2 linked regions of the Schizosaccharomyces pombe genome follow. Changing the gene in region 1 together with any one later gene gives a genetic interaction. Each region holds a gene or a part of one and is shown on either strand. Other genes may lie near its edges. The genes, in order: ppk26 and rud3.

What was found.
Region 2: mutations in ppk26 (region 1) and rud3 impair growth when combined (synthetic growth defect), as found in Schizosaccharomyces pombe (one large-scale study listed by BioGRID).

Annotation. Positions count from the first base shown.
Region 1 is NC_003423.3:2,764,735-2,769,819, reverse strand, and holds ppk26 (PAN complex subunit Ppk26), read left to right. Parts: upstream 1-2,066; 5' UTR 2,067-2,129; coding exon 2,130-2,220; exon of another isoform or gene 2,221-2,268; coding exon 2,269-2,363; exon of another isoform or gene 2,364-2,381; intron 2,382-2,422; coding exon 2,423-2,463; intron 2,464-2,508; coding exon 2,509-2,665; intron 2,666-2,718; coding exon 2,719-2,814; intron 2,815-2,853; coding exon 2,854-2,998; intron 2,999-3,040; coding exon 3,041-3,190; intron 3,191-3,235; coding exon 3,236-3,346; intron 3,347-3,383; coding exon 3,384-3,609; intron 3,610-3,689; coding exon 3,690-4,221; exon of another isoform or gene 4,222-4,268; coding exon 4,269-4,346; exon of another isoform or gene 4,347-4,351; intron 4,352-4,452; coding exon 4,453-4,500; 3' UTR 4,501-4,551; downstream 4,552-5,085. Other genes in the region: INCENP-like protein Pic1, read right to left, coding at 1-348, 392-549; mmp2 (endopeptidase catalytic subunit), read left to right, coding at 4,824-5,065. UniProt on the Schizosaccharomyces pombe protein: Regulatory subunit of the poly(A)-nuclease (PAN) deadenylation complex, one of two cytoplasmic mRNA deadenylases involved in mRNA turnover. PAN specifically shortens poly(A) tails of RNA and the activity is stimulated by poly(A)-binding protein pab1.
Region 2 is NC_003423.3:738,356-742,580, reverse strand, and holds rud3 (golgin protein Rud3), read right to left. Parts: upstream 2,319-4,225; 5' UTR 2,307-2,318; coding exon 1,101-2,306; 3' UTR 705-1,100; downstream 1-704. Other genes in the region: U4/U6 x U5 tri-snRNP complex subunit Prp31, read left to right, coding at 1-618; double-strand-specific ribonuclease Pac1, read left to right, coding at 3,786-4,225.

The sequences.
Region 1 (5,085 bases):
GCTGGCAAATTAGTCGGCAATCTCGTTTCTTTAATAGGAGATACACCACCTTTAGTAGATTTATTAACTATATCATCTTTGACATATTCAGAAGATAGCTTAGTAGAATCCCTATCATCATCAAATTGGGTTTCTGTATTAGTAGCAGTATGTAATTCTTTAGGTTCCTTGACTGTATTGGATTCACCCGACTTATATCCTTCAACAGCAGCTTCCTCAAGCTGATGTTGAATAGATGTTAACCGCATGCGAGGCGTTGGTAACGCACATCGATGTACAGGACTTAAACGAGGAGTGGAGTACTTCTCCTTTATCTTGGTAGGTGTTCTCACTAATTCATATATATCCCTAACCATCTAATTAGCACATATGATAAACAACAAATGCGTACGACTCTAGCTGTAACTTGGAAACTTCAAGCATGTGTTCATTCAACCAGTCCATGGTTTCAGATACAAGGAAGAAGAATTCTTTCATTTTTCCATTAGTGAGTTGTTGGGAGTATTCCAACTCCTTATTAAACCATAGTTCTGACCCATTAGAGCCCATCCTGTTTGGTTACATATAAAGAATGAGCTAGTTGCTGGAGAGTGGTCGGTGGTGGAAGCAATCAAATGTCAACAATATACAACAGTAGTTGTATACCTAAGCTTCCAACTAAATTTATAAACAATTATGCTTTCCCAATTTACAAATGATCAAAAGGTTTATTGTTTTCAAGATTTAAATGTAAATATCAAGTTCCGATGTTATAAACAATTGTTAGGAATATAGACATCGGTTAACGACGAAGAGGTTTTTAACGAAGTAACACTTTAAGCCATACATTTTTTCGAGATGCCGATGCTGATTTTATTGCAGTAATTATTGAGTGGAATAAGCAACCCAATGCATGCAACCTATCGTTCGTTTGATCAGCAGACAGAGTTAACTAGTTTGTGTTCAAATATCTTTCACCATTTGTTTATGTTTAGTATATAGCAAGCGGCACAGACATAAAAGTTTCTATTGAACGGCTACAAGCAATTTGTCATGCTTTATACGCTTGTCATTTATTGGATTTTTTTAATGATTCGATCTACAATATTCACGCATTTTCTCCATTTTTTGTTCACATACTTGCCATAGCTTTTAAAAATAATTTTTCCAATCAGACAGAGATAAATGCCAAATATCATACACTTGTCTTTAAGTTTTCAAGAATGTATTAAAACATGGGTAACCATTCTCAAAAAATTAAAAGCTTATTCAATACAAAATTCACCGTTCTCTTTTCATTTTGAGCTATTTTAACTCAATTAGACTTTTCATTCCTTACTCTGTTTTAGAGGACAATGTAAAGAGAATAGGGTAATAAATATGCTTTTATAATTGACAGTCTGTTATTATTCTTTTTAGCAATTTAAATATTTTTCTGAATTCCTAAAATTTCTTTAATTAATTAAATAAATAATATATACTTTTTTGTCTGACAGATCAAAAAAGGAAGGGTGTCCGAGTGGTTATGGAGCTAGTTTAAGGCACTAGTGCGAAAGCTCGTGGGTTCGAGTCCCACCCCTTTCAGTAATTTTTTATTGCATTTTATAGCAAAACAGGGGAGTGTGAATTTGGCAAGCTGTTAGTTTCTATAGGGAATTTATAACTGCGAACTAAGTTTTCTTACTTGCAATGGCTATATATGGGAGGCCGAATTGCTTGAAAAACATAGCTTTGCATTTGAAACAATTCGCAAAAGTTGGCACTAAGGAAGAAGTTAAGATAAAAAAAATTCAGTTACTTTGGTTTTATGATTTGCAATTAAATTACAGTGATCGCAGAAAGATAGCAGCATTACGAAGACATGTTCAACTGCTACATAACACTTGCTATTGTTAAAGTTTTCGAAATAGTTACTGCCCGTTACATGTAAAGAACAGATAAAAAATAAATTAGAATTACTGTCTTCTCAAATGCTTAAATATTACTACTATGAAATTGTTATATAAACAAAATGTAGCGTTGCAAAGTATTACAGTAAACTTCGTTGTGCTGCATTATTAGTATTGTCCGGGACTTACTGATTCCACGACCTGTAACTAAATTGCTATAATCTCAGACTGTTAGCTTGGGATTGCCTGGAAATTGACAGGATGAGTGTGAGGAAGAATTCTCCTGCAAGCCCAAAGCCAACTTCCCGTTCTAGGGAGAGTTCCAGGTCTCCGTCAGTGACTGATTTGAAAGGTAAATGGAAATTCAAAGCAAAACTTGACTGACCACCATTTTTAATAGACCATTCCAAAGCTAAACGAACATTATGTAGAAATATCTTACTTTATGGATCCTGTAAGCATTCAGAAAATGGATGTGCTTTTCGACATGATGGTGTAAGTATAGGCGTATTCTCTTAACTTCAGAGAAGCTTCTTGCTTACGATTGTTTGTAGCCTTTCATCCCTTCTTCAGAGAATTTGGAGCAATACTCAGTGTATGATTTTTTTTAAGGCTTTGTACGTATAATTAACCTCGCTAGTAAGAAAAAACTGAATGCTGCGTCGGCCTCTTTTCAACCTGTTCGCGCTTTACCAGTAAAGGCTGCTGGCGCTGCAGTATTTGTTCCTAAATCACAAGAAAAATCTCTTTTTCTATCTAGAGAGCGTACCCCTGTTGCGCTTTCACCAGGTAGTCATGTATGTCTGGCTAACAGCTTATATTTTTCTTACTAATTTTACTGTAATTTTAGGCTATTAATCCTTACAATAATGCATCTATGTTGGTCAATGAGCCTTTTCATGATGACTCTGGGGTTTATTATACTCGTCAAAACCAGTTTAAACCCGTAAGTCTAAAGCCTTATTATTGTTGTTGACAACAACAGACATTGTACAATTTATATAATCCGCAACCTTCTCCCATGCCAACTTTACTTCCTTATGAAAGAACTGTAAACGGTCTATTTATTGATGATACGACTAGAGAAAGAATCGAGAGAAAGAGCGAGGCATCCCGTCAGACAATTTCAGGTACTTAATTTGTGTCTAGCTTCCTTTATACTAATATTTTAGCGCTTCCGTCTATTATATCTTCATATACTTCTTTGGCGCCACTGAATACAAAGCTTTATCGGTATAAAGAGCAAATTGGATTCTCTTCTTGGACGTACAAATGCACTTCTTCCATCGATGGGAATGCTTACGTTTTGAAACGACTCCAAGGTAACCTTCAGATTCATAAATTGCAATTGCTAATATATTTAAAAGACTGTTCAATTAATATTGATACGTCGACTGTCGACAAGCTTAAAAATGTTTTTCATCCAAATATCGTACCATTCCATTCTGCTTTTCATACTGATACATTTCATGATTCTTGTAAGTTTATTTTACTAAACCTTACTAATTAATCAAGCGTTACTATTAATTTATGATTTTTATCCGTGTACTACAACCCTTGGTGAGCTCTACCTAAACAATTCTAAAAATTCTGTCAAGTTGGAGGAAAATAGAAAAATTCCAGAACGAGAGTTATGGAATTATTTTTTCCAGCTTACTATCGCTTTGTCATATCTACATAAATCCGGGTTTGCTTGCAACAAGCTTACTCCGTCGAGAATCCTTGTGGATCAAACTGAAAGGTATTTTTTTTTGAACATTTTTTATGTTTTGATGGAATACATTTCTTTAATTCATTAATGACTTATACTAACGTGTAAAGGATTCGTATTAGTGGTTGCGCTGACTATGAATTGGTAGTGTCAAACAAGCCTCCATTAGAGGAACGAAAGAAGCAGGATTTTGTAGATCTTGGAGTTGTGATTGCGAATTTAGCTACTGGAAGAACTGATATGGACATGTCTTCAGCCGCACGAGCAATTTATAGTACATATTCGAGGGAATTTTATAAAGCGGTTTTATACTTTGTATCGGAAGTTCCTGAGGATAAAAACTTGGAGTTGTTTTTGCAAAATCACATAGAAAGTTTTTTCCCTATAATGAGTTCACCATACGTGGAATGCGAAAAAATGGAGAGAAAAATTTCGGACGCTTTCCAACACGGTCGATTTTTTAATATTTTGTGCAAGATTATGTTTATTATTGATAATAATAGAGCTTCTCGTGAATATCCTATCGCACGAGAAAAAGAAATTTCATTAATCTACTTATTACGAGATTATCTTTTCCATCAGATAGATGAAGATGAGTGTCCTGTGATAGATTTATATCAAGTGCTGAATCGCCTGGGAAAGGTAAGTTTTTTACATTTTTCTCATTATTGCATTTATTAATTCATTAGCTTGATGCCGGTATAAATCAAGCCATCGCATTAATTTCCCGAGATGAACTTGATTGTGTTTCAGTTTCTTATGGGGAGGTAAGTATTTGCTCAAAAAGCCATAGTGGGTGCTTAGTAAATTAGACTACTTTTCCACACTATATAGCCTGTTTGTTTGCAAAATTACTAACAATAACAAATGTAGCTAAAAGCTTGGTTGGACAACGTTTACGAAATGGAAATAAATTCTTAAAATAAAACATTTTTCTTTACAGAATATTTATTTGTTTTTTTGTATCTATTACCATGGTTGTTAATTTAAGTAAATAATAGTTTTCGCTATAATAATATTAGAAGGAAGCTAAGCTTAATGTGGTTTTGAATTACCTACTGCAACACACCGTATTGAAACAAAAACGATCAGGAATAGAAGCCTGACACTTATCAGATAAAATTCATTAATACGTTTTCCTGGTTTAATTATTAATTACGGAAACTCCCATGCTTGTTAAGGTACATACAGACGGTTAATCATAAACTTCTTAGAGGAGAGAGTTTAGCAGTTGTCCTCAAAAAATGGCAAACCCTTTCGTTCGAAATCAATCTTTTAAATCAGTATTTTTTAAAAATTTAGTCGGAATTACCCTATGGGTACCCGTATTAATGTTCGTTGAACAACATGTAGTCAGCGTCGGTACAATTGAAGGTAGATCTATGAAACCAGCCTTTAACCCTGAGACAAACATGCTGCAGAGAGATAGGGTACTACTTTGGAAATGGAATAAGGATTACAAAAGAGGAGATGTAGTTATACTACGGTAAGTTCTTGGATCGTTGC
Region 2 (4,225 bases), 2.0 Mb from region 1:
CAAGCTATCCGAATGACTGCTGCTAAAGTTGCTTTAGCAGCAAGAATCGATTCCATTCATGAATATCCTGATGGCTCATTTGGCATATCTGCTCGAAAGGAAGTTGAACGGAAAATTGAAAAGCTTTTGGAACCTCCATCACAGAAACCAACTGTTGCGCTACCCGTTCCTGACGATAGGCCAAAACGTCGTCGTGGAGGAAGAAGAATTCGCAAGATGAAAGAGCAATATGCCGTAACGGAATTGCGGAGATTACAGAATCGCGTCGCCTTTGGTAAGGAGGAGGCGGAAGTCTTTAATTTTGACGAAACGGAAGGTCTTGGTATGCTTGGTCAAGAAGGTGAAGGAAAAATTCGTGCAGTGTCAATTGATTCTCGAACTAAATTACGGTTACCAAAAGCGCGGAAGGCCCAACTACAATCAATGGCACAGAAGAATCCCCTTGCTGCAAGCGGTTTACAAAGTTCATTATCCTTCACACCTATTCAAGGCATTGAACTAGTGAACCCCTTACTTCAACGACAACAAAAAGTAGAAGAGGCCAACAAATGGTTTCGTGATGGTGTTTTTACACAGATAAAGAAGGATTCTAATGAGCCGAAAAATAAATTTTCATAATAATGTCTTCATAATGATTAGTTACTTTGCATATAGCTATGTTGCTTTTGCATACTAGTAATACAGACCATAACTATGACCTGAGTGATTAAAATAAAATGATATTTTTAAAATTCTTCGAAAAAACTGATATTAACAAACAATTTTGAAAATTAAGAATATTGACTAATAGATGAAATTGCAACAAGCGCTTTTGCCATAAAGCTAGGCATAGCAGGAGAAGGCAAAATATCAAAATGAACGTATGAAACTATTACTTCAAGAATGATATAGTCAACCTTCAAAATGTGTGAAAAGAGAGTAAAAAAATACTAAAACCTTGTACGCGCGGCAAAAGGTAACCCCTAATTAAGTTGTGAAGTAAGAAAAAAAAAAGCGATACATAAAAAGAGCGAAAGATATTATTATTTACAGAAAAAAGAAAAATCTTTCATACCATTGCTCAATTGAAACGTAAAATTATCGGTTAGTGTGGAAGAAAATTATGAGTCATGGAAAGAACGTCTTTTGGAAAAGGAATGATCGGAGAATAGAGAGTTAGAGGACGCACTGTGAGGAATACTCCAATTATTTACAGAGGAACCAGGACGTTGAAGTCCCGTTTGTTCCCTTTGCGTATCGTTCCAATCTAACACGGAAGAAATTAATTGCAATATTTCGAAACGTTTAGTGTCAGCGCGAGGAAGCGTCAAAAAGGAGACAAACAAATTAGAAATAAGTTGTTTGTCAATTTTTTCTGCATTATTTCCATCTTTAAGCATGCAGAGAGCCTTTGTAAGATGTTCATTCAAAACAACGGCCTCGTGCTGCAGTTTACCAATAAGTAGGGTTTTTTCTTTCACCTCGTGCTCCAAATCAGAGACCCTTGAAAGCCTTTTCTGTGTAGCATCTAACTCATTTTGCAAATCTTCGTACTCTTTTGATTTAGAAGCGAATTTCTCAGTCACGTCGTCCATGGCCTTCTGCCAATTTCTGGTAAGTTCACCGAGGTTTTCAGTATGGGAAGCTTTGGTGGATTCTAATTCAATTTCTAGTTGATGCTGATTTGTCAAATGACGTTGAATTTCAACTTCATACTGCTCTTGTCTTTCAGTTTCTCTAGCTAGCTGCTCTTCACAATCTGCCAATCGAACGGCCAATGATTCTTGCATCTCATGTTCATCTCTGGCTCTTCTTTCCCATTGTTTTGATTGAGTCGATAACAATTGATTTTCTTCAACAAGCGAAGCATTTTGCTGTCTCAAATCTGTTATATCTTGCGTTAAGCTTTCTACTTGTGCGGTCAAGGTTACGGTTTCTTCATTGCTCAACTTAAGTGCTTCCTCTGCATCGCCCAAAGACTTTTCGAGCTCTTGAATTCGTTTTCGATTTTGAGCTAACTCTTGAGAATCCTTCTTAAGCCTTTCTCCCAACGTTGACTTAATTCCCGAGACCTTCCCGAGTAAATTAGAGTGTTGCTGCTTCAATGAGTTATAAGAATTCTTTAATGTTTGATAAGCTTCCTCCTTCTCCGCCAATTTCTTGAAAGATTCTGAACATTCTAAATGTTCATCGTTTTCTTTCAAAACTCCGCCTTTTTCATTCAATTTGAGCTCATTTTTTTCATCTTCTAAGTTCAAACGACTTAAATCCTCTTGTAAATTCTCATTTTCCACCAATTTTGTTTCATTTCCTGCATTTTCTGCCATTCCAGAAATTATGGGAAATTGAATTAGTGAGCTCTAGAGTGGCCCTAAAACATCCATCTTTTCGTAAACATTTCCATAAACCTCGATAATATTCCTTTAACTTGGTTTACGAAATACTAAACCTTTTGCTTTAAAATTTGTTACTACAATAAACAGTAGCAACGTATTCAACTTTAACTGTAAGCTACGCAGTTTGGTATCTGATTTAAGGATACGTAGAACTGCGGTGAGTTTTCCTTATGGTCTATTTATATTACAATACACAGGTTGTATAAGTAGCAACTGAGTATAGGTATTGTATTAACTGGGTTATAATGTTACCTATCACTAATATAGCTCATAACTGAACTGAGGAACGAGGTTCAGTTGTAACGCTATTTATAATATTTCTAAATAGTTGTTATTAACGGGTATCTATGTATATAGACGGATAGTTACCCGTGATTATCAATAAACGGATCTTAGCTAGTATTCCAACATATGACATATAGTGATACGCAACGTAGTGTATCATAGCGTAGTGTAGTATTGCTGACATTAACATACTTTGTTGACCGTTGTGCTGCGGTACGCCCCTATTCTTTCTCTGCTCATGTTAACCAACGAACGTGGTGAAATAAACCGCTAAGTTGGAAAAAGAGTGTTTCTTTCTTCCTTCTCCTTTCTCGTCCCTCACTGCCCAACATAAACAAACTCCCACACATATGAGGTTGAACGAGTCTGCATATTCTTTTTAAAGAAAAGAGTTGTTTTCTTATTCATATTGACGGTTTGGTAGTTCCTACGAACTTGCATTTCAGATTGTTTATTTTTCATTCGGGTTTTTGCAAAGTAAGTAGCGTTGTCTTGCATCTACGGTGATAGAGCTTTCTTTCAAATAAGGAGGATTGCTGGTCCTTGGTTTGGTCAACATACGGTTTTTAATCACATTTCGATTTTACGCTGCATTTTCGATTTGCTTCAGATATCATTAATTGGTAGATTTGAAGATTATAACATTGAAAAAGACTTTTTTCACTGTAAAAAATATTTATTTTTTTATATTCAGCTATTCGAAGAACATTTTTTTTGCATTTTTTTCTTAGCTGGGTAGGTGTTCTTCACATTGGAGAGCTGTTTTTGGTTGATTGTTTTGTTACAAGATTTTTTGCATTTGTATATTACACGGAGCTTTTCGTGCTGATCATTTTTTACTTCTTGATTGTTCTTTACTGTTTGTGGTATATTTCTAAAGAAAACACAAAGTAAAGTAATTTTGGGTAAATAACTTTTTCGTTGTGGCCCTTAGAACAGTATCCTGGTACTGCACATTTCTTCTACTGACGATATTTTTACCGGAACTCTGTTCCGTACTTAATTCTCGGCCATTTTTGACACCGATTTTTTAAGTAGATCCCAATACAGCATTCTTGGATACTTCTGTCTCTTTTAGCACCGTTTTCCTTCTCACAATCTACTTTATATTTCTACCATTTTCCTATGGGACGGTTTAAGAGGCATCATGAAGGGGACTCAGATTCCTCCTCATCCGCTTCCGACTCTTTATCAAGAGGAAGAAGGTCTCTTGGTCACAAGCGAAGTAGCCACATAAAAAATCGGCAGTATTATATTTTGGAAAAAAAAATTCGTAAACTCATGTTTGCTATGAAAGCCTTGCTAGAAGAAACAAAGCATTCAACAAAGGATGATGTGAATTTGGTTATCCCTGGTTCTACTTGGAGCCATATTGAAGGAGTCTACGAAATGTTGAAGTCAAGGCATGATCGCCAAAACGAACCTGTCATTGAAGAACCCTCCTCTCACCCAAAAAATCAAAAAAATCAAGAAAATAATGAACCAACATCTGAGGAGTTTGAAGAAGGAGAGTATCCCCCGCCATTACCACCTTTACGGTCTGAGAAACTAAAGGAACAAGTTTT